Danio rerio: one gene and its partners. The protein of the gene in region 5 interacts with the protein of the main gene of each other region in a pairwise test. Links are inferred from orthologs where the notes say so. Each region holds a gene or a part of one and is shown on either strand. Other genes may lie near its edges. The genes, in order: syt16, zfyve21, fxr2, snx15, rabac1, snx10b and rab33a.

Evidence for each region.
Region 1: the proteins of rabac1 (region 5) and syt16 interact in binary tests that used the Homo sapiens proteins (3 or more experiments, as listed by UniProt). The link is inferred for Danio rerio from reciprocal best matches to the Homo sapiens genes RABAC1 and SYT16.
Region 2: the proteins of rabac1 (region 5) and zfyve21 interact in binary tests that used the Homo sapiens proteins (3 or more experiments, as listed by UniProt). The two-hybrid records come from large-scale screens. The link is inferred for Danio rerio from reciprocal best matches to the Homo sapiens genes RABAC1 and ZFYVE21.
Region 3: the proteins of rabac1 (region 5) and fxr2 interact in binary tests that used the Homo sapiens proteins (3 or more experiments, as listed by UniProt). The two-hybrid records come from large-scale screens. The link is inferred for Danio rerio from reciprocal best matches to the Homo sapiens genes RABAC1 and FXR2.
Region 4: the proteins of rabac1 (region 5) and snx15 interact in binary tests that used the Homo sapiens proteins (3 or more experiments, as listed by UniProt). The two-hybrid records come from large-scale screens. The link is inferred for Danio rerio from reciprocal best matches to the Homo sapiens genes RABAC1 and SNX15.
Region 6: the proteins of rabac1 (region 5) and snx10b interact in binary tests that used the Homo sapiens proteins (3 or more experiments, as listed by UniProt). The two-hybrid records come from large-scale screens. The link is inferred for Danio rerio from reciprocal best matches to the Homo sapiens genes RABAC1 and SNX10.
Region 7: the proteins of rabac1 (region 5) and rab33a interact in binary tests that used the Homo sapiens proteins (3 or more experiments, as listed by UniProt). The two-hybrid records come from large-scale screens. The link is inferred for Danio rerio from reciprocal best matches to the Homo sapiens genes RABAC1 and RAB33A.

The regions. Positions count from the first base shown.
Region 1 is NC_133188.1:41,039,365-41,043,552, forward strand, and holds the start of syt16 (synaptotagmin-16), read right to left. Parts: upstream 2,801-4,188; 5' UTR 2,622-2,800; intron 506-2,621; 5' UTR 416-505; coding exon 136-415; intron 1-135. UniProt on the Homo sapiens protein: May be involved in the trafficking and exocytosis of secretory vesicles in non-neuronal tissues. Is Ca(2+)-independent.
Region 2 is NC_133188.1:47,247,021-47,251,047, reverse strand, and holds the start of zfyve21 (zinc finger FYVE domain-containing protein 21), read right to left. Parts: upstream 2,801-4,027; 5' UTR 2,723-2,800; coding exon 2,597-2,722; intron 1-2,596. UniProt on the Homo sapiens protein: Plays a role in cell adhesion, and thereby in cell motility which requires repeated formation and disassembly of focal adhesions.
Region 3 is NC_133182.1:22,730,745-22,734,244, reverse strand, and holds part of fxr2 (fragile X mental retardation syndrome-related protein 2), read right to left. Parts: intron 2,222-3,500; coding exon 2,042-2,221; intron 132-2,041; coding exon 1-131. UniProt on the Homo sapiens protein: mRNA-binding protein that acts as a regulator of mRNAs translation and/or stability, and which is required for adult hippocampal neurogenesis. Specifically binds to AU-rich elements (AREs) in the 3'-UTR of target mRNAs.
Region 4 is NC_133182.1:19,941,065-19,944,564, forward strand, and holds part of snx15 (sorting nexin-15), read right to left. Parts: intron 3,107-3,500; coding exon 2,957-3,106; intron 2,864-2,956; coding exon 2,654-2,863; intron 1-2,653. UniProt on the Homo sapiens protein: May be involved in several stages of intracellular trafficking. Overexpression of SNX15 disrupts the normal trafficking of proteins from the plasma membrane to recycling endosomes or the TGN.
Region 5 is NC_133191.1:11,086,695-11,090,948, forward strand, and holds the start of rabac1 (prenylated Rab acceptor protein 1), read right to left. Parts: upstream 2,801-4,254; 5' UTR 2,773-2,800; intron 318-2,772; 5' UTR 308-317; coding exon 237-307; intron 1-236. UniProt on the Homo sapiens protein: General Rab protein regulator required for vesicle formation from the Golgi complex. May control vesicle docking and fusion by mediating the action of Rab GTPases to the SNARE complexes.
Region 6 is NC_133191.1:22,386,779-22,390,773, reverse strand, and holds the start of snx10b (sorting nexin-10B), read left to right. Parts: upstream 1-1,195; 5' UTR 1,196-1,274; coding exon 1,275-1,367; intron 1,368-1,446; coding exon 1,447-1,547; intron 1,548-2,204; coding exon 2,205-2,306; intron 2,307-2,868; exon of another isoform or gene 2,869-3,415; intron 3,416-3,712; coding exon 3,713-3,929; 3' UTR 3,930-3,995. UniProt on the Homo sapiens protein: Probable phosphoinositide-binding protein involved in protein sorting and membrane trafficking in endosomes. Plays a role in cilium biogenesis through regulation of the transport and the localization of proteins to the cilium.
Region 7 is NC_133189.1:19,966,491-19,970,698, forward strand, and holds the start of rab33a (ras-related protein Rab-33A), read right to left. Parts: upstream 2,801-4,208; 5' UTR 2,766-2,800; coding exon 2,502-2,765; intron 1-2,501.

The DNA of each region.
Region 1 (4,188 bases), on a different chromosome or scaffold from region 5:
AATTAAATTGAGTGATGTTCAACTTCATTTGTTCATTTTCAGCCCATATAAATTGTTTGCAATCAGTTATCTTAAAAAAAGCGTATAGCAAATCCAATGAAACATTTTTTTCAGTGCAGCTAACCATCATCTTACCAGTATCAGAAGTAAGCAGACTCCTCCCGCTCTCCAGTTCATCTGTCTCTTCGCTGATGGGAGTCAGACGTTCAGCAGACAGTGCATAATCAAACTTGTCGCCCTGTGAATCCACTACAGATCCATGAACAACCCTCAAATTCACCTCTGAACTCTCATCTTTCACTGAGTCGACAGTTTCATTTTGGCCGAGGCGGCGGAAGCCACTGGAAAAAGCATCTGAAATCTGAGCGAGCCATGAGGAGAATGCTGGGATACCTGTCTGAGGAGTATCTGCCATTCCATTAAATGTCAAGGTTTTACCCTGTTTGCACTAAGGAGGTCTGTTTTCAGATGTACAGAAGACCCATTGAAGTTCCTCATGCTTTCACTGTATTAAATTCAAAACATCGATATTATGGTCGAAGAAAGAACATTATAATCATTTGTTCAATTAAACAATAAACTACATTTTGTCTATGCATAACAGATAACTAATGTACAATGCAAGGTTACATGAGCAGTTACATAGAGGTTACATGCAGTGCTGTTTTATCATAATTGCTTATCAATTACAGTTATTTTATTTTTAATTACAGATCAAATTTGAGCTATTCTGTCTTTTTGTCATTTTATGTTTAGATTATTTTAGTACATGGTTTTAAGCTAAATGTAAAAATACTTTTATCATTATTGCTTTAATAATATACATGTATATATATATATATATATATATATATATATATATATATATATATATATATATATATATATATATAAATATATATATATATATATATATATATATTAGATTTTAGATCTAATAGATTTTATTTTTTTATTATTAAAAACATCAAATCAAATTTCACATCAAATTATTTTGGTTTAATTTTTTTATGCAACAACATATACGAGCAATTCCAGCGTTATGGAAGTGAGATTTGCAGTAAAAACTCAAAACATAAATGAACAGAGAAAGTATATGTTTACATTATATTAAGACATCTTGTTATAGTTTTCAAAAGAACTAACCACAGAGTTATGGAATCCAAAAAATATTCACCTGTAAACCATCTTTAAATTTTAAATGAGGAAAATAAGCATGCGTTATAGATGTGACCAAAACGTCTGTGAGTTTACAGTCTACAACATACTTTGTAGAAATTCTGTCAATTAAACTGCAAAACCCAATAGAAACAACGCTAATCAAAAGGATAAAAGTTGACTCACTTTAGAACAACAAAAAAAAAAACCGATTGGTTTTATTTGACATTATTGCATTCATGAGAAAAATGTTTCATTATGGATGTGACACCTCTCCGTTATTTATGTGACAGAACTGAATTTGGCACTTGTGTGACTTGGTTAAATCAAATATAATTGTTTGAAAACACTGACAGAGACATTTTTGAGTATTTTTACAATATTCTAAAATACTAGCCTACACAAAAAACCTAGAAACAGTTTTGCTATTTTGGTAAAAACTTTTTTCATGGCAAGCTTGATATTTGCATGGAATTGCTCACATACAGATTTTACAGTTCTTATGGCTAATAATTAGGGCTGCCCAATATTGGAAAAATCTGACATTACAATATTTCTTTTGCTGCGATATATATTGTGATTTGAATACAATTTTACCAGATGGCCTAGAATACCTCTATTTTGAAAAATCCTTAATTTGATTAGTTGGGTTGACTTTGTAAGGGTGTGAATCATGTATAAAAAAATAATAAACAAATTGCAAGAATAATTACAATAAAGCAACGATAAAAGTAAAATAAACAGTGCTTTATGGTTTTCCATTTAGTCAAACAACATTCGGGTAAAGTAATGTAAAATAACACTATCTAGTGTTTATTGTAATAATAATTAAGTCAAATTATTCTTCATTAAAGTTACAAATGTTTTACGTTATTGTGCCTAAATGCTTTACACTCTTGAAATGCCTTTAAAACATATCCAAATGATAAAGTTTCACTCTGATATAGCTATACAATGCAATGACCTCACAAATCTCATGTATTCTCAATGTTGATCGACTATAATGCCAATTTAACACTGCATATCCCGCGATGTGACTATTGCGAACACTCACATTGCGATATCAGTGCTGAAACGATATATTGTGCAGCCCTACTGATAATGATTACTAACATAAATACTTAATAATAATAATAATCATAATAATAATAAATATTTACTAAAAATAACACTAAAATAAAAGTAATTCAATTCTAAAAATGAACAACAAATGTGTCTATATCAATAAATCAATGAACAAACATTGAATAAATTAAATACATTCTCGAATAAATTACATTATTTTAAATATCTCTCTCTCTCTCTCTCTCTCTCTCTCTCTATATATATATATATATATATATATATATATATATATATATATGTATAAACAACAGTAAATTTGCAATAAATAAAACTAAATTCAAATTTCTAAGACAGTAACCAACACATATTCTTAGATTGCTTTTAGATCAGACACTTACCAGCAAGTCTTCCTCAATTACTCCATTTACTCGATTACTCTTTGCACATATAACAAACCTTCTGTCAAACCAATTCAGCAGGACCTGAATTCATAACATTTATCTAGCTGCTAGACGCAGGACATCTCGCAGGACGGACTGACTGAATGTTTACTAAAGGAGCTGCTTTTAAATACCACAGCAGAACTTCCTCCACCACCCTGCTGATATACAGACTGAGAAGTGTGTTGGTGTGTGTGCGTCAAACCAAAAGGTGCAGAGTTAACACACAGGTGGTGAGTATGTGTGCATAATGTGCGAGGAAAGAATAGAAAAAGGGACAACCCATAGAGCACATAGAGATATGCATCTAATTAGAAAACTGGATCCCAAACACTCCCCCTGTTTGCCATTGGCCATCAAACAGACTGAACAAACATCCCACACACTGTTCATTAAACATCCCAGGCTATACCTGTATTCATCTGAGATTATGGTCAAAGTATTGTCTGTTTTAAAATATATCGCAGTTCACATCGTTTGTAATATTGCAGTTTGTGAATGAAAAAGGTCTGAAAGGTTTTACAATAAACGGTGCTACTGTATTTTGAACATGCATTTATGTAAACCTATTGCAGAAGGCCTTCAAAACTAAATTAGAAACCCTAAACACACCATATGCGGGACTTTTTTTAACCTGTGAAACCTTTTGCAAAAACAATTACTCAGCAAAAAAAGTCGGAGCAGTATTACTCACCCAGACCCTGGTGAATCCCTGCACGGTCTCTTCGCTTGCGTCGGCTGTACTGCTCTAGGCAGGGCAGGCCCCCGACACGAGCAAAACACAGCTTCTTATTGATGAACAGGAAGAGTATGGCCAACAAGACCACAAAGATGCCCACGGCCGAGAGGAAGCCCACCGCCTCAGGAGTGACTGAAGAGAGAACAGACACACAGATCAGACACTGATCAGAAGGACAGAATTGATTGATTGATTCATTTTCTTTTTTCGGCTTTAATCTTTGGTCACCACAGTGGAGGGAACCGCCAACTTATCCAGCACATTTTTTACGCAGCGGATGCCCTTCCAGCCGCAACTCATCACAGGGAAACATCCATTCACACTCATACACTACGGACAATTTAGCTTACCCAATTCATCTATACCACATGTCTAGATGAACGTGGTACTTGTGGGGGAAACATGCAGGGAGAACATGCAGGGAGAACATGCAAACTGTAGAACAGACAGAATTGATATCAGATAAATCAGTTAATTAGTGGTGCACCAATCAAACCGATTCTGAATGCAAATTGTCAGATTCTGATACTGATTCCCAATTTTATTTTAAGGTGCAGTAAAATTTACATTTTTATAAGTTAGTTTTAGTCTGTTAGTTTGAAGAGTATCTGCTAGTGTGCTCTAAAACAGTGACGAAATTTGCTTTTAGATAACATAAATCTGATTTAATCCATTTACTTTTTGAAACTCCTAGTGATCCCATATACTTGAGCTGTACAAACACAAAAATTGTGTCCGTATTAATCACTATATCTGCTTTGTAGGTTTGCTGTATTGGTTGAGAAC
Region 2 (4,027 bases), on a different chromosome or scaffold from region 5:
AAAAGCAACCATCATTGAAGGAGCAAATCGTACTAAATTGTACAAATTAGATCGTACGAACTCATACGAATTAACCAACAAATCAAAATGTTACAAACTGCCATGAGATTGCGTTGTATAAAACTGATATAAACATGTAAATTTAGCAGTTTGTCACTTCCATCTAAATGGATTAACCTTTTTTTCACATCACCTCATACTTCAGTTTCTCAAAGCTTGACCAATCAAATGCTCTCTAGTCTCTGACATGCCCCGCCCCCTTCAAGATGCTTTTCATTTGACGTGCTTGAGCTCAACCAGTCTCACTTGCAGAGCTGTGATAAAAAACAAAATGCTATTGGCTACTTTTTTTTTAAAGGGGAGGGGCTACGCTAAGTCCCACCCTCTCTTCATTTTTCAGTTGAGATTACGTCAAACATCGAATAAAAATGTACATTTCAAAGCACTTCACGGGACCTTTATTGGCTTTATTTACAAAAAACTACTATCACCTGATGCACTGCCAATGATAAGATCAGATTAATGACAGAATTATAAAGCCAATTTAAAGGATGTTGATTAAAATATAAACAGTTGTAAAGTAGATATACTTTAGCAGTTTTGTAGGAAAACTGACACTCGAGAGTTCTTAATGCCACCCTCTGATTGGGTGAGACTTTTGTAAAATCATGGGTAATGCAGTTTTCAAGATATTTTTCTGTTAAATGCATAGTTTAATGCAGGGGTCACCAAACTTGTTCCTGGAGGGCCGGTGCCCTACAGAGATTAGCTCTAACTCTTATCAAACACACCTGAACAAGCTAATCAAGGTCTTACTAGGTATACTAAAAACATAAAGGCAGGTGTGTTGAGGCAAGTTGGAGCTAAACCCTGCAGGGACACCGGCCCTCCAGGACCGAGATTAGTGACCCCTGGTTTAATGATCTTTTAAATCTGAAAAGACATTGATATTTAATGAATATTAAGACATATATGTATATATCTCAATGCATCAAAAGCTTTGAGTGTCCTGAAAAGCACTATATAAAATGTAAGGAATTATTATTATTATTAATATTATTGGCGAAGCAGTGGCGCAGTAGGTAGTGCCGTTGCCTCACAGCAAGAAGATCGCTGGGTCGCTGGTTCGAGCCTCGGCTCAGTTGGCGTTTCTGTGTGGAGTTTGCATGTTCTCCCTGTGTACACGTGGGTTTCCTCCGGGTGCTCCGGTTTCACCCACAGTCCAAAGACATGCGGTACAGGTGAATTGGGTAGGGTAAATTGTCCGTAGTGTATGAGTATGTGTGTGTGTGAATGTGTGTGTGGATGTTTCCCAGAGATGGGTTGCGGCTGGAAGGGCATCCGCTGCGTAAAAACTTGCTGGATAGGTTGGCAGTTCATTCCGCTGCGCTGTGGCGACCCCAGAATAATAAAGGGACTAAGCCGACAGGAAAATGAATGAATAAATGTATTATTATTATTATTAATATAACACATCCTTTTGATCAGTGTAATTTCTATTGGAACGTGTAGCTTAATTCACAGAATTTTCAACAAGTTTACTATATACTTTTTGGTCATTTCCATAAGCCATGTTCATTTTCCAAATTTCAAATATAAAACACATTTACAGATCATTATTGATGCATTAGCTCTTTAGTTAATTGTGTTGAAAGATATAAACTTATGTTTCAATATACTGTTAAGCTTAACATTCTTTGTGTATTTTTATTACCGATTTCACATCCATTACACTAGCTTTGCTCAACTGATTTCTAGCTTTGCTCAACTGATTTGCTCAACTGACTGACTTTTTTTTAAAGGGGAGGGGCTACGCTAAGTCCCACCCTCTCTTCATTTTTCAGTTGAGATTACGTCAAACATCGAACAAAAATGTACATTTCAAAGCACTTCACGGGACCTTTATTGGCTTTATTTACAAAAAACTACTGTCACCTGATGCACTGACAATGATAATAATAATATCATTGTATAATATCATTATTATCATGATAATAATAATAATAATAATAATTTCTGTGTTCAATAGAAACAAAATAATAAACTTGTGAATGTTTGAACCCACATAAGAGTTAGTAAATAGTAATCTAATTTTCATTTTTGGGTGAACTGTCCCTTTAAGTGGTTGACGTGACACGTGATGTGGCAAAGGTGATGGAAATTGTACTTTTGAATGTCAGTGGTTTCTGCATACCTCGCCATATATTATTAATAAGTGGGCGTGGTTTAATCGTCTGACAGTCTCTTGGCCACACAGAAGCATTGGGCAAAGTTTGACCCGAATGCCATGCCATCCAAACTGTCTGTCACATGCCCAGCAGATCAATCATTTATCAATACATTATACATGTTCACAATGATGGTTGTTCGCTCACATACACACTACAGTACTCACTACAGCAGATATACTAGGTGATTTGCATGCATTTCAACTCAAATCTGTTTAAAAGATCTAAATCGTGCCATCTTACGTCTTTGTAGTACCATCTGCGAAAGTTAGCAAATATTTTCCACTGGCTCTTCTTGCCTTAAGCAAACAACGCCCAAAGCATCATCATCATCACCATCCCAATAATCAGTGATCGATCTTCTTTACCTCTTTATCCGGAACCCACTGCGGCTCGTCCAGGGTAAACGGACTGTTGAACGCGCCGTTCTCCGGTACCATGCGGAGTCCGCTCGGGCTCCGGACCAGCTTTTTGCCGTCAGGAACAGCGGACATGTTTGTGTTTATGAGTGCGCAGCTGCTGCTGGAGAGAAGAACGGAGCAGACATCAGCCGCCCTACCAGCCGCACGGACACCGCTTCAACATAAGAGTCCCTCATAGCTCTAACATAAATATTTTTAACAGTCTGTGATATGAACAGAAATAAAATGTAAAATATATTCTTCTTCTTCTTCTTCTTCTTCTTCTTCTTCTTCTTCTTCTTCTTCTTCTTCTTCTTCTTCTTCTTATTATTATTATTATTATTATTATTATTATTATTATTAATAACAATAATAATAATAACGACTACTATGATGATGATGATAATAATAATAATAATAATAATAATAATAATAATAATAATAATAATAATAATAATAATAATAATAATAATAATAATAATAACTATTATTATTAGTAGTAGTAGTAGTAGTAGCAGTAGAACTGGAATTGTCATTACTGCAGCTGGTATTATTAAAATACAGATCCTTTTAATCTCCCAAGCCAAAAAAACAAAAAAAGGTTAAAGAGTTATGCATTATTTTATATTAGCATTTTAAATATTGGTAATTTTATAATCTCGCTAATAATAGTAGTAGTAGTATTAGTAGAAGTAGTAGTACTAGTAGTAATTATAATATAATATAACATAATATAATATAATATAATATAATATAATATAATATAATATAATATAATATAATATAATATAATATAATATAAACATATTCATCATAATCATTATAATCATAACCAAAACAATCATAATAAATATTATAGTTTTTGTATTTAATTGTTTACTTTAATTTAGCATTATTTATTATTTTATATATTTTATATCCTGTATTATTGGATGAACCCAATATTATTATTAGAGTAAACATTATTTTTATTAGTACATGAATACACCTTAAACAATTAGTTGTTCCCAAATTCTGACATGTATTGTACTGTGGATTCACAGTCAGTAAAATTACATGAGGGTCCTTAACAATACAAATAGAGTTCTCTTGGGATTAATACTTTTTATTTATATTTTTATCATAATAATTGTTGATTTCCCAGAGATGGCTTGCGGCTGGAAGGGCATCCGCTGCGTAAAACTTGCTGGATTATTTGGTAGTTAATTCCGCTGTGGCGACCCCCGATCAATAAAGGGACTAAGCCGACAAGAAAATGAATGAATGAATGAATGAATACTTGTTGGTAGTACTGTTGTGAATATCTAATATAATATATTATAATATATATATAATATAATATATTTAGCTTTTCCCCCAGTAAAAGCTTTAAGGTCTTTGATTATACAATAAGAGTCC
Region 3 (3,500 bases), on a different chromosome or scaffold from region 5:
GTCATTACGGCGGCGACGTGAGCGTCTTCTGCGGTCAATACCACCCATGCTCTCGCTAGCATCTGTATCACCGCCCTGTTCACCTTCACCCTCCAGCAGAGAGTATGGGTTACTGTCCGGATCTCGGAGGACTGGAACACACACAAACACAGAAGTCAAGCACAAAGCAAATAATAATGTAGAGAATTTTGCATGGATAGCCTCCCAAGCATTTAAAAAGGAGCTTTGTGTAAATTATCATTAATTTCCTTTTGTTTTTTAACACTACAATTTTGAAAAGCTTGTAAAGAAACGCATAATAAAAAGAATTAATTTAAATGAGAGTCATATAAATGTATAGTCTATTCATATTCCCAATTTCTATGCTAAATATGACTTTTGCTCATTAATAATATCCTAATACACTGATTATTAACATTTAAGGTAGTTATAGCAGTGCCATTCAAATATCGAAAAGATTACGGTGTGAAGAATATAGAACATATGCATTAAAATGTTATAAGTACAAGTACTAATAAACCAATAATATTCAAACAAATAGCTAAAATTGAGAACGGGTGCCCATAAAAAACACATCCAGATCACTTACTGGCCACCAGTGTAGCTAATGATGAAGATTTCTGACTTCTATGAATAACCCTTCAATAAAATACCTTTTTTAAGGTCTAAAAGCCTTAGTTTTCTCAAACTTTGACAACTTAATTTGTCATTGTCTTGCATGATTTTTTTTCTTGCATACAATAGACCCTTTTCACATTATGTCCGGTTTCACTCCACGCAGTGTATGGTTACTTCCGCCTACACAGAACTCCCCATAGAGAACTCACCCAGTCAGCTGTATATTTACTACAGAAACAATTAGACTGTGACCAGGCAGTTTTCTGTTGTCTGCATTCAAGGTGAGACATCTTAAAAAATAATTTTAAACATCAGGCGGATTTTCTCTTGGACCAAGATAATGGGACTTTAAACAGAGTGTATTGCTTTGTGTGGCTGTATTTACTCTAGATGAAGTTGGTATGTACTTGTCAGCTTTTGTCAAATAAAGATTTCAGACGTTTACACGGGTGCTGAACATTTTTTTTGTCAAATTATTTTTTAGTATGTTTTTGTGCCCTGTAGAGTAAGTAATAAATACAACTGTGTGCGTTATACTGCAGATGTTTACAGTGGACAGCTGATTCACAAACACATTTATATAATTCACATTCTACAGCTCAGATCTCTGAAATTTTGCTTCTATAAAAGGCATTTCATTTAAAAACAAAAAACATTTAATTCTAAGATTCAAATAAAATAAAATAGAACAACAATGTTGTATGTGACTCAAATAATCAAATGAAATCATTACAAAAATTTACAGTGGTAAAATAACACCAAGACGACAGCACTTTAATTCAGTATTAGTAGATTTTAAAATTATTTGCAACATTATTATTTAAAAGACAGTACAGATATCAAACTAAACCCATGCATTGTGGCAGCAGAACACCGTCATAATTCATTTAAATGGAGAAACTGAACAAATCATTAATAGATCAGTAAATAATAAGCGATAAAACGAATTGCATTTATTGATTTACATATAACAGATAAAATTATTTATATTCAAAGCAGCATCAAAACAAAAATAAACCCATTATTGATTAAATAAAACAAAACTAAATTACATAAACTTAAGTGAAAAATGTTGCAAACATATACTTTCCTTGATAAACAACAGCCTATTCCTATTCGTAATAACTTAAACATTTTCAAACTCAGAAAGCGGTTCAGTTTTGAAAGAGTAACATTTGGACAATTCCAATACTTTAATAGTTTTAAATCACAACAGGCAAAGTTAATATTTTTATTTGTAAATTTTCCAGAAGTCTGCCAATCATTCGAAAGTACACTGGAACAAAAAATACACCTTGCTGCTGATAGGGGGAAGTGAAGTAGGGTCATTGTGAAAATGATCTATTACAGCTACTTATAATAACTATATTCACTACTAACAGTGGCTCAGACTTCTATATATTAAAATTCCAATTGGCTGTACCTGAGCTGATAGTGTTAATGTTTCTGGGTCCTGGTCCTCCACGGCCCCTGCCAGCGCTGGAGCCACGGCCTCGACCTCCACGCTTCGAACCCCGATCATCTGCTCCAACCCCTTTAGGCCTGGACTCCCGATCCCCCAAATCCTCTGTCTCTGATGCATTGGACATCTCAGAGTTAGTTCCTGCGAGAAGAATGAAGAATGTTAAGCAGCAGGAACACAATTTATACAGAACAATTTAGGCACCTTAGTAGCACTGGTGATATTTGAGAGAAAAAAACAGCCTGTGTGAGATATTTATCTCAATGCTCGTATGATACTGCCTTATGATATGACACAGACACTAATTTATACAGGGCATTTTTGCTCCAGTAACTTGCATTTAGAGGCATATAACAGCATTATGTACACTACATTCTAAGATTAACGTCATGCACCATCAGTCAACTGTATGAAATTTTATTTATTATTATCTTAATTGAGAATTTCCCTGTAAAACGTACTACACATTACATCTACAAAACAAAGCTTAAAAGAAACATTTCAGTTTTTTGTAAATAGGCTCATTTTACAAGTCCCCTAGATAAAAGGGTATATGCAGAAATATGCAGAAGAACTATCTTCGGTCAAGCACTTCCAGTGAACTGTGTGCATTTGCAAAATCGCCTGAGGTCTGTTTCTTACAAAATTAACGATCACTGCCCGATTGATATACAATATAAAGTGGGTTTTAGAATGTACAGGAAGCACTGCATTAAATTAGAATTTCCCACGCCATGTCTTTAAAATATGAACATTTATTTTACTCGTTTCTGCGCTCGCCTGCTGATCCTGACGGGCAGGTGGTTGTAAACGGCTTTTCATCTCGTGTTACGCTTCAACAACTAAATGAATGCTCAAGTTTATTTAACTGATTATATTTTAATTACATTACAACATCAATGCTGTAAAAAGAACCGTAAAATACTGAAAAAAAAGTCACATTGACCAGAAGTTTATCGAAATAGTAAGAAACACTAGCTGTGCATATAACGTATAGTCCTGAAAAAAAATATGCAGATAGTTAAACAAGGTAACGCAGTTGCAAAATATCATTGCACTTTAAATAATAAAACTCTTTTCAAATTGTTTTTAGATTAATGCTAATGGTCTAATCTGATTCAATGGTTTATGCTAAGCTAAGCTAAAAGTGCCCATGCAAGATCTGCAGATTGGCTAGATGGATTGCTAAATTTCTGTGGTTTAACTGGCAGACTTAAAATGTGCCTATTTTAGTGTTCCTTTGAGGTAAAACTAAAGAAAAATGTTTATATTTCTTCTATTGTGTATAACTGTGGAATGTGTTTGAAAAGAAAAAATAAGAACAGGTGCTTAAAATGTTTTTATAAAATAAGTCAAAGAGGCAAAACAACAAGGAACAAAAAAATCAATGAAATTTGACTAAAATTTGTAGCTTATAACT
Region 4 (3,500 bases), on a different chromosome or scaffold from region 5:
AGCAACCTAGCTTTCCCATGTGGTCTCCCATCCAGGTAGTGACTAGGAGCAGCTCTGCTTAGCTCCAGTGGTGGACCATTTGAAAGTTGCAGAGAGCTAGCTGCCGGCAATAATAATATTATTAATAATAATAATAATAATAATAATAAAAATAATAATAATAATAATAGTGGTTAAGATAAACATTTAAAATTGAAAATGCCATTTATTTCTAAAGGAGCTGTTGACATGAATTTGATGCATATTTTGGTAAAAACCCAAACAACTCAAACTCTGTATCAAACAATCCGAACATCCAATTCAGAAAAATTTGTTATGCATAATAACAATGGAACGACACAAGAAAAAGGTACTGAACTACTGAAATGTACTTATGCTAATGACAGCTTGTAGTATGAAGAATGGAGTTGCATACATTGCTTAGGTGTAATTTTTTCCCCCAAACATCAACAGAGTCTAAAAGTCTTGACGGTTCTGTGGGTTTTGTCTATCCACTTTAATTCATTTTTACTATTGGATTCAGGTCAGGTGATTGCCTGGGCCATTCTAGCAGATTTATTTTCTTTTTTCTGAGACCCATTGAGATTTTCCTTGCCTGTGTTTGGGATCATTGTCTTGCTTTAATATCAACCCTTTTTCATCTTCATCATCTGGTTGTGTAGATGTTTGGAATAAAGCAGCTTATATTCATGCTGTCTGCTGTCTAGGATTTCCATGACCTCTAATACCCCAGTTTTTTCATGTGTTCAATACTGTTCCCCTTTGTCATTTCATTTATTTGAACACACAAAAGTTAATTTCTAAACTAATTAGTTTTGTTTGCTTTATATGTATGAATTACTTTGGTTGTTACTGACACCTGGTGACAATGTCAAGTCAACCAGCACCTTTAGAAATATGTTAAATGCAATATCAGAGGTAGAGGAGAACAGTTGTCGGAAAACTGCCAACAATTTTTTGCATTTTTTAATGATTTAAAAACCTTAAATGTGGATTGTGTAAGTATATATATATATATATATATATATATATATATATATATATATATATATATATATATATATATATATATACGGTTTTTTATAATTAGTTTTTTCTGTATTTGTATTTATTTCATTATTATTATTATTTTATTTTTCAGATTTGTATTATTTTATTTGGGGATTGCTTTGTTGGGGCTAGATTGGATTGTATATGGTTATTGTATATGTTTTCTAAGAAAAATAAGAATATTTATTTTACTCAACATTGATAACATAAATAAGAAATCATTATCGGGCCCCATGTCTACATATTAAAATGCTCTCTAAAAGATCATGTGACACTAAAAACTAAAGTAATGATTCACAGGAACAAATTTGAAAAAATATATTAAAACTGAAATAAGTTAACATGAAAAACATGATAAACTATATCAATAACACCTAACAATGAGGTTCCATAAATGTTAGTTAATGTATTGACAATCACAAATGAACAATAAACAATACATTTATTACAATACTTAACCATCTTTAGTAACGTTGGCTAATGAAATAAAGATGTTCATAGTAAATTCTTGTTAACTGTGCATTTACTAACGTTAACAAGCACAATTTTACATTTTAATAATGCACTAGTACAAATTAAAATATGATAAATAAACGCTGTACATGTACTGTTCAATTTAAGTTCATGTTAATAAATACAAACAACTAACATAACGAATGGAACATTATTGTAAAGTGTGACCCTATATTTCATAAAATTGTTGATTAAACTACATTTTTGATTCAATAAATGCAGTCTTGTAAAATACAAGAAACATTAAAAAAAATTTATGTCTACCACAAACTCTGGAACAGCAGCGTCTCTAAATTGTATTTCAAAATTAATTCATAACCTTTCAGTTAATTAGTCACACAAGAAATAGAACGTCTGGTCAAGCACAGTGCATTGTGGGATGCTATTTTCCCAATTGTGTGTTTTTGTTAAATATATGATATGTAACCAATGTTGTGTTTAGTATCCAGACATTTTTCATAAAGAAAATTTGCACCAATTATATACAGTTGAAGTCAGAATTATTAGCCTCTTTTTGATTTTTTTTCTTTTTTAAATATTTCCCAAATGATGCTTAACAGAGCAAAGAAACTTACACGGTGTGTCTGATAATATTTTTTACTGTAGAGAAAGTTTTATTTGTTTTATTTCAGTTAGAATAAAAGCAGTTCTAAATTTTTTATGAACCATTTTAAGGTCAAAATGATCAGCCCCTTTAAGCTATCTTTTTCTGATAGTCTACAGAACAAACCATCATTATATAATTATTTGCCTAATTGCCCTAACCTGCGTAGTTAACCTAATAAACCTAGTTAAGCCTTTAAATGTCACTTTAAGCTGTATAGAAGTGTCTTGAAAAATATCTAGTCAAATATTATTTACTGTCATCATGGCAACGATAAAATAAATCAGTTATTAGAAATTAGTTACTAAAACTATTATGTTTAAAATGCGTTAAATAAATCTCTCCTTTAAACAAAAATTGTAACAATAAAACAAAAAATTAAAAGAAATAAACAGGGGGGCAAATAATTCTGACTTCAACTGTATTACATACTGCAAAATATCAATTAGTGTTGCAATGTGCATGCAAACAGCCTCCATGTCTTACCTTGCACTCCTTTCATAAATATATCAACAGCCGCCCTGTATCGCTGTACGGCTGTGCTATAGTTGCCTTCTCTCTCTTGTTCCTGGGCAGCATTCAGCTCTTCATTGGCCTGGTACACATAACTAACATCTACAGCAGAATCCGTCCCATTTGAACCACACAGAGGAGCAGACAGGAGTTCAGCATGGCTGGGTGATCCGTACGGTTGATCTGAGAGATTGAATCAAGCTATGAGAGTGAGACTTTGCTTTAAAAAACAATTGCATGTAGACATGGTAAGTCAAACTGAATAGATTCTCCCACCTTCTTTGACACAAGGGTCAAAAATAGCGAGGTCTGTGTCTGAAAGCAGAGGCGGAGCTTTGAAGGAATAGTCCTCCAATCCTGAGTCAAACAGTGCATCAAACTCTTCCAACTGGTCGATTGGAGAGCCTGGCATTTCAGGCGAAGCATCTGCAATGGAGCAGTAAACCATTGTTTAAAACTTTTATTTTTAATGGCAATTTTTATTTTTAACAATCATCATTAAAGGTAATAACTTATTAAATTTTAATCAAATATTAAATTAGATAAAATAAGATTTAGTTTGGAGACCAATTCACAATATTAACTATTAACTATGACTTTTGCCTCCAAATAAACGTCTAATTGGCTCTTTATTAATGGTTAGTAAAAGGGGTGTGACAAGATGCTTATTCCACGAGATGAGACTAGACATGAGATAGGGTTCACAAGATTTTTAATACTTTTTTGGAATCCTCAATAAAATATATGAATGGAAAATGTTTTTCTTTTATTCAACTTAAAACAAATCACAAATTGCAAAACAATTTATGTGCTTTTTAAA
Region 5 (4,254 bases):
ATACTTACATACATATAAATATATATATATATATATATATATATATATATATATATATATATATATATATATATAAACAACAACAAAGAAAGTTACAATTAAAATAATTTTTTTAAAGAAATTAATCATTTAGCAGTGTCTTTTATCTAATGTGACTCTCAATAAGAGTTAAACAATAAACAATTTCTGGAGTTTTGGGCTTTTACAGATTGTAGTATTTCTGGTGACAGACTCACCTTCCCACAATTCCTGCTCCTGGAAGCTGCTCTGCCTCGCTGCTAAAGGGGTCACTTACTTTTGCATCCATCTCGACGTGTCTAATAATAAAACACATATCTTAATCAACAAGAATGTATTACTATTTTGATTTAAATATATTCATATGTTGATTTAATTTCCAACAGAGTTGAGAGCCACTGGTACATTTATACTATGTGGGTTGATTGAGATGTAAAGGACATTGTGGTTGTCAAAAGAAGAAAGTGGGATCATTGGGTAAGATGCAATAATAAGTTACTGTTAATATTGCTCAGCTTTTTGCACAGACCTATAGTTTCCCTTTATTAGACCTCAATGTGTTTTCAGGTGTCACAGAAGTTAAATATGTTTTGCCTGTATATTTATGTTTGACTCTATAAGTGCAGGTAACTGTTGACTTGCATTGTATGAATAACAAAGGACCATGGCCTTTCATATAAAACTTCAAAAGGTTAGTTCACCCAAAAATTTAAATTATGTGATTAAGTACCACTATTTGTCCTCTCTTCCGCTTCAGGTAATCAGAGTTCATAATAAACGCATGTCCTGATCTGATACGTTTTTGACACACAAAAGTGTTCTTGGAGCTTCATATGATTATAGTTGACCCACTGAAGTCACATGGAATGTTTTGACAATGTGTTTAGTTCCTTTTCTGGACTATAAATGTGTCTGGACCATAAAAGGATGATGAGGAAACTTAGATTTCATGCAGGAATTAAAAGGACGTGAAGGTGAGTAATTAATAACAGAAGTTTTATTTTTGTGTGAACTAATCCTTTTATCCACTTAAAAAAAACACTCACCAGGCCCGTAGCCAGGGGTTTTCGGAAGACCCACCCACCCACACTGACAAAGGTCCAGAATTTGTCCAATACATGAGCTCATTTGTTCTTTTTTGACTGCTATGCCATCATAAATAGTGAAAATAACCCATCGAAAAAGGCATTAAGACCAAGCGTAATCCTGGTGTGACTTCAGTTAATCAGTTTTGGCCAATACAAACAATTATTTTTCAAGAGTCCAACATCCAGCTGTGCAAGAAAACACCTGACATAAGCAAAGTCATCTTTCACTACTTTATTGTTTTCAAATTGGGAAAAGATTTGACAAGTAACTTTTATTATCAATCACTTTTCTTGAAACAAAAAATAACCAATAAAGTGTAAAGTACTTATACAAGAGGCTAGAAAAACTGTGAAGCTCTTAACTGTTGTTGTTGTTATTATTATTATTATTATGTTTTAGTTTTTTATTATTATTTAAATGGCCACATTCTGACTGAGGAAAGTTGAATGTGCTGGCCAGTCAGTTATTTGCTTAATAAATTACACTAGGCTACAGTTTCTAATTTAAAACGTTGATGCATGATAAATGATGCAATATATTTCTGTTTTAAAAACACATATTTGCCATATTTATTTCTTTATTATAAATATTTAGGAAATGTTTTGGTACATCAAAAAGTGTGGTTATGATGACCATCCAACAAGATAATTGATTCAATAAAGTCAGGTAAAAAGTGCTTAAAATTTCATCTAAATTCAGCATTGAAATCTCATAACTAAACAGAAAATGAGGCGAACAACAGCAAAAAGATCTACCTATTAAGAAAAAACCCTTTCAAAAGGCTGGATTAATGAATAGCAAACTATAGATGAAAGGTTCTTCAAAGTGAAGTATAAGATAAAGGAAAAGTTATATTCGGATATTCAGACATTCTCCTTAACAATATAATTTCAGAAAAGTATTCTTTGCAAATTCCGAATAGGAAAATCATATAAGCACCAAATGATTATCAAAGTACAACATTGTTCACAATCAATTAGATAGAATTAATGTTATTTAGAAGTCATACTTGCAGGCTAATTCCGATCGAATATTCAAAGTAACATGGTAAACAATATAGGGACTTCTAAATGTGCGAATATAAAACCAACTTTACCTCTAACGTTATAAGTACAAGAACATGCACATAACTTTAGTCAAGGGATACTAAGACTTTTACACTTGATAGGAAAACAATGAATTTGATCTCCTTCACAGAAAGCAACTTTCTAAACTTCCTCTGTATGTCTTCACTTAATCTATGAAGCTCGCTTTCTATGTTATGGTAAGTTATGAACGTGTTCAATGACGTTACTGGAAAAATGATGTCACTCATGGGCTGCAACTGAAACTCTGCGTTCAAGAAGAGAAACAATCCGGTAGAGCAAGTTTGTTAAGCTGCTACATTACGTCAGATGTGCCTCAAAAAATAAATTATTACAGTCAGACAATAAACAACGTTTTCTTTTTTTGGTATGTCACAAAACATAATCCATAAAGTTTGTTTATCAAATCCGTTACAGACAGCAGCAAGCGCTCTTTCTCAAAATATATATCGATACCCCTTAACTTTGAGATCAATCGGTAACGTTAGTAACATAGAGAAATCGACAGACAGTGAGACGAAATATTTCTAGAATTGTGCTTTAAAAGGGGAGTAAACCTTAAAGTAACAATCATACTCACAGCACTTTGTGTAGATGTGTTGACTGTGTTGATGTGCAGCGGATATGATGTGGTTCGCAAACAGCGGTGACGATCTTCTTCTGTTGACATAAGTTAACACGAGTCAAACTTGCGACTGCCTCCTAGTGACACGGATCAGCATACAGGGCATGCACCTAAATTTTTTTTAAATGGATACAATGTCCTTTACATGTTATAACTATTATTTTGCATTAAGATAAAATATAGAAAATGAGGTTTAATGATATAAGAAAAAAACAGCAAAACTAAAAAAATATGAAAATAATTTTTAAAAATTCAAGTACAAAAGATGCATTCTAGAACTTTTGGGCCCCTTGGCTGGAATTGTTTATGGCCCCAAAATCACTAAATCAGCCCTTGATAATATATAATATATTTTAATATTCAAGAACAGACATACCTAGTAATGAACATTGTATAGTTGACATTCATTTGCAGCATTATAAATATGTGATGTCAATAAATACTTTTTTTCTAGCTAAATGCTATTAATTTCAGGAATTGGATTTCTGTTCTTTTCCAGTACACACTGCCAAAAACCTTGTGGCCTATCCAAGTTTTAGGAACAACAAATAACTTGACTTAGTTGATGATTTGGTATCAGTGGCTGAAAGGCAAAGGCCTCTAGTGTACGCTTCTTTTACCAAAATAAAATATGATTATGCCTTGATTTTTTATTATTTAATGAGGATAGTAAGGCCTGACTTTGCTAAAACAAAAGACTTAACAGAAATAATGTACAGTATAGAATATAAAGTCATGGTGCAATGGAAAAATAATTAATATTGTGTATGACTCCCATGAGCTTGGAGGGCTGCATCCACACATCTCTGCAATGACTCAAATCACTTATTAATAAAGTCATCTGGAATGGCAAAAACAGTGTTCCTGCAGGACTCCCAGAGTTCATCAAGATTCTTTGAATTCATCTTCAATGCCTTCGCCTCCATCTTACCCCAGACATGCTCAATAACTTTTATGTCTGGTGATTGGGCTGGCCAATACTGGAGCACTTTGACCTTTGCTTGCAGGAACTTTGATGTGGAGGCTGAAGTATGAGAAGGAGCGTGATCCGGCTGAAGAATTTGCCCTCTCCTGTGATATGTAATGAAAAGGGCAGCAAATGTCTTGATATCTCAGGCTGTTGATGTTGAATAAATGTAAACACAAATCATATTTTTTCCTTCACCAAACTTGACTGATTTCTGTGAGAATCTTGGGTCCATGAGGGTTCCAATAGGTCAGCAGTATGTGTGATGCAGTTCAACATGATTAATCAAAAAATTTACCTTCTGCCACTTTTCCAAATGATCAACTAGAAGTCAAGTTACTATTTGTTGCTCTTACAGCAGGGATCGACGACAATACTTTTGTCAGGTAGTGTAGGCACAGTGTGATTGCTAATAGCAAAAAAAAAAGTTATTTTAGATATAGGAAATTAATTATTGTTATCAATATTAG
Region 6 (3,995 bases), about 11 Mb from region 5:
AAATGTCACAAATCAAAGATTTGATGTTAAATCTTTAGCCCTGCTCACTCATAAAGCACTGTGGATTACATTTTTGTGAGTTTCTCTCTGAATATATTTAAAACCAAAAATTTAAATGTCCTTGTCCTTTGCATTTCTTCAGTTGAGCCATTTGCAATACTTCATGGTATTGTGACTTTTCTTTTTTGAATCCACACTTTCCAATTTTCATGGAAATTTTTTGCTTCAAATCAAAGTTTTAAATATTGTAATTCACCTCATATCTGGTTGGTGCGTTTCGTGTCTTCTAATGCTTTAAAGCCTTTTAACAAATCCTTATGGGCAAAATATTTCCTGAACCAGCATTTATGTGCATCATTATAGTTTTGTTCTTGGTGTAAACAGGCCATTTTAAAAGTTATACTGTGATAAATCCTTTGATCTGTGAGCGAGTATTGTGACTCATAAATCGGTAGATTTGCACAAAACTAATTCTAGAATGTAGCCTGTACAATCACACTTTATTTGTGACATTTTTATTTTTGGTCAGTTTCACTTTCATAACAGCAGTATGATTAGGCCATTTACTGTAGGCTGAGGTTTTGCTGAAGTCCTTTGTCTTGCTGTTTCACTTTTCTAAGTTCCTTTTTTCTGTAAAGATCACTGTAACATTAAATCTCTAGGTGCTTTAAATAAACATAGACTTACCTCAGAAGTGTTGTGATCGTTCTTATTAACATGAAAATTTGCAGTCATCAGTAAAAGTGTTTTAAAATCAAATAACTCTAATTATCGTTGGTATATTATAAAATAAAGTCAGTTCCTAGTAGATTGTTCTTTTAAAAATCATAATGCTCATAAATATAGTTTATAATAGCCATTTTGTTTTTATTTTAAGAGGTTTGAAACCACTACAGGTACATGAATAACTCTTTAAGTACTGCTATGGTTGTTTTAAACACGCAGGCATTATGATTATGAGACCCATTTTTTCCAGCTGCTTTTTCCTGCTCCTTTTATTTTTATGGTGCAGCTAGTCTGCTGTGTCTCTAGTGGCTGGTAAAAATGAAGCACCGCTGTCAGTCACAGGCACAAAATGAGCTGTGATGTTTTTCCCAAGTCTACAGTTATCATGAATCAGCCCCAGTTGGTCAACAAGACCAATGTCTCATGAAAATACTTCCTACTTTATTCTTCCCCATTTTTTATCTCAAAGCTTGCTGTTGTGTGTCACTGTCCAATAAAAGTTAGTGAGTGAGTGTATTCGTTTGCTCTTTTCCATAATTCTTGGACTTATGCAGGAATTCACTGGCGTTTGGGTGAGGGATCCTCGCATCCAGAAGGAAGATTTCTGGCATGCCTTCATGGATTATGAAGTTTGTATACATGTAAGTGCAGTCGTATGCAAATGGTTAAAACAAAAGTCAGATGCTTCCTGGTTGTTATTTGTATTTTGTATTTGCTTAGACAAACAGCTTGGCGTTCACTAAGAAGAGCTCCTGTGTGCGGCGGAGATTCAGCGAGTTTGTGTGGTTAAGAAAAAAGCTACAGGAAAATGCCTTGCTCATGTATGTAGCCGTTGCATCTGCTCTTGCTATTTATATCTTTTATTACTAATGGTTATTCATATGTAGGCAAGACTTCAATACATGTGAGAGTATCTGCATACTTATTTTATTAATATTATTATACTTTTAATTTGAAAGAATATATTGAGAATGTATGAATTTGAAAAAAAATCAATTATAATAAATGTTATATATATATATAATTTTTATATATTAATGATTTAATAGATTTTTTTAAATTAAATTAATACAGACAAATCCCCAGACCTTGTGTGTGGAAGTCATTGGTTATAGTTGAATTACATTTCCAATGTAGTTTTTTAAAAAAAATAATAGATACTTTTAATCAAGTAATAATTTTACGGAGTTATTTTATTACTATTTTAATATTTAACATTATGTTTACTTAGTCTATTTCAATTACTTGCCAACACTTTTGTTAGTTTGTAAGGATTTGCACATTTAGGTTTTCCATCTAATATTTTTATATTTGTTTTATTTAATTTTTAGTATAATCCTCAAACATATATTCAATAGTTTTGGCTAACAATATCAACACTGCTAATTGTTAAGCAGCTGTACTGTAGACATTTTAAAATTTCTGTCATTGGGCAATTTCCATTGACTCAAACTTAACCTTTTGTATTTGAATTGCAGAACACATATACCTAAACTTCCTCCAAAAAACCCCTTCTTCAGTCTCAACAATGCAAAAGAAATTGGAGCCCGTATGGAGGGGTTAAGGAAATTCCTAGAAGCGTAAGTGTCTGAATAACCACACACACACACACACACACACACACACACACACACACACAAAACATTAAATAAAAACAAAACCATGACTCACAATCAAGGGTGGATTAAGTGATTTTGGGGCCCTTAGCAGTTCCAGCCATGGAACCAACAGTCCTAAAATGCACCCTTTTTAGTTTTATTCATTTTTATTTATTTCAAGAATTCACACTTAGCTGATGATTGATTATAAACAAGTTTGGCATGCTTACCCAATAAAGAGCCCTGAGCTCAAAAGGTCCTTGAGCCCTGGGCTCCCTCCTGTTTGCAGGGCGCAAGGGGAGCTCTGAGCTCAGGTAGCTGATCTCTGGAGAACTCCCCCCTTGATGACAGAAAAGGATTGCTATGGAGAGATATGCTACTGCATGGGAGTTTGACTGTAGTGCTAAATTTAGATTGATCAATGAACTTGTAGTGCATGTTTTTGGAATGTTGTAGGAAACCAGAGAACCCGGGGGCAACCCACGCAAGCACGGAAAGAACAAGCTAACTTCACACAGAAACGACAGCCAGCCTGTTAAAGAACTAGAACCGGTGACTTTCTTCCTGTGAGGCAACAGTGTTAATCACTGGGCCACCGTGCCACCTTATGAAGAGAAAGGTGGAGGAGTGGGGATGGAATGGGGGATTCTTCAAATCGAAGATGACTGTAGTGAGAAACCCTGTCTCTTTAGAGTGGGTTAGGATTTGTTTGATTGGTGGATCAAACATTGTTAAAGCAGAACCAGCCGTGTTCAATCATAAACACGTGATCCTCTCGAAATTTGTTTATAAATAAACTTCACTTATTTTGCAGGGTTTTTTATATCACGGAATCTCCTTTTTCATGTTTTATCTCAATGAAATCTCTACATTTTAAGTGATTTGTGTTGTTTACGTGAACTCACATCTAAAAAAAATAAATGAATAAATTGAAAATAATAAATATTTTTTAAACAATTGAATCTCTACCTGACTTGACTGCTGGACTGCTCCATGATTGGGACAAATTTGCATAGATTGTATAATTATGGTAAAATGTAAATTCTAAGACCCTCACAATACAAAATATGATAGAAAACAATGCTATTTGTATAATTTATACTTCTTGGTATTTGTTGGTCCCCTCAAATTTCCTGAGGCCCTAAGTGGCTGCTTACTTTGCTTATTGGTTAAATCTGCCCCTGCTCACAATCACTTTTGATGTCTTGAGCATTTGCTTGTTTTTCCATATGATCTTGTAAGACTTTTCTGATAAAAGAATGAATAAATAAAAATCAAACTTTTTGGTACAAATGAGATTTTACAAGTCTATTTAACAATCCACTAATAACTAAAGTAACTGAAATGGTTATGGTTTGATTAATCAGTAAAATGTTTACTTCTTCCAGGGTGGTTCACAGTGCGGTTCTGCTGTCAGACAGTTGCTTGCACCTCTTCCTACAGTCCCAACTAAGTCTGAAAAAAATTGAGGCCTGTGCTGAAGGCAGGACTCGCTACACTGTATCCGAGGCCATTCACAGTTTCAGTTCTGGACACAAACGCTTTGATTCACTGTGTGAAGAGAACATGGAAGAAGAGCAATGTGTGCAATGTGAATCAGAGTGATTATTTTTGGACAATAAAATGGAGTCAACGCACATTATGCTTTTAGATATAAAAATACAACCTCTG
Region 7 (4,208 bases), on a different chromosome or scaffold from region 5:
AGAAAAAACAAGACAAAAACAAACATCAGCACTAAAGAAAAGTGACTCTGACAGCTAAGAAATACATTTATTTAATTTATAAAAATAATTATTTATGAATTGATCTTTAAAAATAAAAACTTTAACCATTCATAGGTATTAAGTATACATTCTGAAGATTTCCGTTCAAATCTTTGACCTTATTTTTACATAACTTTTAACGTCATGTAAAAGAAAAATCATGAAAAAATAATCACCTCTGCAATATTTACAGTTAGGGATTTTTCAGACTATTTATTCCAAAGCAACTTACAATTTTTCTTATACAAGCTTTTGCTACATAAGACAGATATAAAAATTGCTCAAAATAATAATTAATAATTTATTAAAATACAAATACATTAGGGCTAAATGATATTGGAAAAATCTGATATTACGATTTTTCTGCAATAAATATTGTGATACGAACACAGTTTCACAAGATTATCAGTTCTATTTTGCAATTTTCTGGGGAGTCTAACAATATTTAGGTGCAGTAATACCAGTGCAAGAAAATAGTTTTCTTAATTTGCATTTTCTCGTTTCTAGTACAAATAACGATTTTTTTTTATAGTTCAAGTACAAATACTGTTTTATTCTCACCTTCTTAAGAAATAACAAAAAAGTTTTTTATTTACAACGAGCAAAATGATCTGCCATTAAGGTGAGTAAAATAATCTTGTTTTCACTTCGAAATGTAGATATTTGGTCTAGAAACAAGACAAAAAAATTGAAGCAAAAAAAAAAAACATTTGCATAAATTGTTACTTACAAACACCAAAATTTTTTGTGCCCAAATGTTTTAAACTCTCCTGAAATGCTTGGTCATAGGCCTTAAAATCACAAGCAAATGATAATGTGTATGTATATATGATTGTATGTATGTATGTATGTATGTATATCGAATGTAGTCGAAATTATTAGCCTCCATTTGAAATTTTTCTTCTTTTTTAAGTATTTCCCAAATGATATTTAACAGAGCAAGGAAATTTTCACTGTATGTCTTATTTGTTTTATTTCGGCTAGAATAAAAACAATAATATTAGCACCTTTAAGCTATATATATATTTTATCGATAGTCTACAGAACAAATTAGCCTATCATACAATAACTTGCCTAATTACCCTAACCTGCCTAGTTGACCTAATTAACCTAGTTAAGCCTTTAAATGTCACTTTAAGCTTTATAAAAGTGTCTTGAAAAATATCTAGTCAAATATTATTTACTGTCATCATGGCAAATATAAAATAAATCATTTATTAGCAATGAGTTATTAAAACTATTATGTTTAGAAATGTGTTGAAAAATTCTTCTCTCCATTAAACAAAAATTGGTAAAAACAATAAACAGGTGGGGCTAATAATTCTGACTTCAACTGTATATTTATATATGTGTGTGCGTGTGAGTATACATTTGAAGTCAGAATTAATAGCCCCCCTTTGAATTATTATCATTATTATTATTTTTAATTTTTAAATATTTCCTTTAGAATGTTTAACAGAGCAATGGCATTTTTACAGTGTGTCTGATAATATTTTTTTCTTCTGAAGAAAGTCTTGTTTGTTTTATTTTGGCTAGAATAAAAGCAGTTTTTAATTTTTTTTAAACACCATTTTAAGGTCAACATTATTAGCCCCTTTAAGCTATGTATATTTTTTCGATAGTCTAAAGAACAAACCATCATTATGCAATAACTACCCTAATAACTAATTACCCTAACCTGCCCAGTTAACCTAATTAACTACTTAAGCCTTTAAATGTCACTTTAAGCTGTATAGAAGTGTCTTGAAAAATATCTAGTTAAATATTATTTACTTTCATCATAGCAAAGATAAAATTAATAAGTTATTAGAAATGAGTTATTAAAAATAATGTGTTGAAAAATGTGTTGAAAAAAAAACTTTTCTCCGATAAACAGAAATTGGGGAAAAAAATAAGCAGGTGGGCTAATAATTCTGACTTCAACTGTATATATTCATTTACATCTTATATGCTCATACATTTTTATAACCTTTTATATACCAGGTTGACAACCATTTGTTGATAGACCAGCATAAGGTGCATCTATAACTTTATGATACATTAACTTTTATCTGATAATAACATTTTGGTGCAGCTGATGGGGAGTTTGGAAAAGGTAATGACCATCTTTTACGAAGTAAAAACCAGTTACCATTTACCAAAACATTACATTACCATCCTAAGCAACAATAAAGAGCAGGTGTGACCAAAGCACTCGCATTTTTGTTTTTAATTTTCCACATGACATGTAATTTGACTCGCCTGTAATGGAAACTATAAACTAGGCTATGTTTTTGACGCTGCATGCGATCAAAGAAACAGTAATGGTAGATATTAACGTTACTCAGAATGTAAACATTGAGCTTCCTCGTGATGCTGCTGTCACTGAAACACACAATACAATCGTAATACAACGAGATGTCGGCCTTCAGGGCGAGAGCAACCCCTTCTATAAATCCCACCTTTATTTTCTCGCCCTCGATCTCCACCGCTTTCTCCCTGAAATCCACGCCGATGGTGGCTTCAGTTTTGCACGGGAAGGCTCCGCCGGTGAAGCGGAAGGTTAAACAGGTCTTTCCCACATTTGAGTCCCCGATGACAATGATTTTAAAAATCCGCGTCTGCACGCTGTGATCCAGAGACGTGCTCAGGTCTAGTGACGACGTGAGGTTGGCATGGCGTGAGTTGGCAGTTCCGTCTCTGTTTTCTGAGAATTCATTTGCCATAACGGTGAAATGATGTGCCGAGCCTGGTGTTCACTGGTCCGGCGGTGATGATGGTGGTGGTAGTGATGGGGGAAGGGATAGCAGATCCACTCCCTTTGCAGATGCAGGGAGTTTACATAGCCCGACAAGTGTTTGCCAACTGATGTAGTTGATTTAAGCAATTAAAAGGGAAATTAAAACTAAACTAAATTCTCCCCTTAAATAAACAAAACAACATGACATTTAAAGGGATAGTTCCCTCTAAAAAAACAATTATTTAGGCTATTGGTTCGTTTTTGTTGTCAAATAGGCTACTTGAATGAAGAATTTATTGCAGTAAAAAGGCTATAAAATGAAGTTTTCGAAGAATATTCACCTCTTTTTAAGACAAAAATCAATTCAACAAAGCACCAATAAGAATCTAAAACTGCTGTTTCTTTTAAAATCTTTTGAGAAACAGAAAACATATTACATATAAATCTCTGGTACATTTGAAAATTCTTAAATAAAGCATTTTATAGAAGTTAATGTTTTTGAAAGTGAAATTTCTAAAAGCATGAAAAATAATCTTATGATAAATTGTTTACCCCGCTGCAGAAAATTATGTAGCTGCTTTAAGTAAAAATTAACTTAATTTTAAGCAAGAATATTTTCTTATATTGTCAATATTTGCAATAGAAAAAGGAAAAAACTCTAAGAAATATATATTATTTTGCACTGTGGAAGACCATGAAAGCCCCAGATAATATTGTAGCATAATCGATTAAAAATTTAAACTGCTCTTATTAAGATGCTTGTAAAGTTAAACAACAGGGGTCATCCCCCTCCCAGTGTTTGTGTGGGTTTCCTCCGGGTGCTCCGGTTTCCCCCACAGTCCAAAGACTTGCGCTATAGGGGAATTGAGTAAACTAACTTGGCTGTAGTGTATGTGTGTGAATTCAAGAGTGTATGGGTGTTTCCCAGTGCTGGGTTGCAGCGGAAAGGGCATCTGTTGTGTAAAACATATGCTGGATAAGTTGGTGGTTCATTCCGCTGTGGCAACTCCTGATGAATAAAGGGGAAAATTAATGAATGAATTATCTGATGCATTTTAAAGTTACACATTAAAGGACAATTATTATTTTGTAAAGGCACTGACATATTTGCACTCTTGCACTCATATTTGCATATTTGATATGTCAAATTCAGAATGAACTGGTTAATCATATGAATTTTTATTTTTTTTTTAGCTTTTGGGAGGGCTGCTCTAGCTGAATCTGAGGACGTTTCATAATTGATTAAATAAACTGAAACAACACTGAACTGATCTCTATAACGATATTGTCTTCAGTTGAAATTGAAGGTATTTCATAACTGATGAAATTTAAATGTAGCAGTGTTATTTTTTTTCTGTCAATTAAAGCTTGTTTGAAGAGTCTGTATTTTTTTATGTTGCTACACTACCGGTCAAAAGTTTGGGGTCAG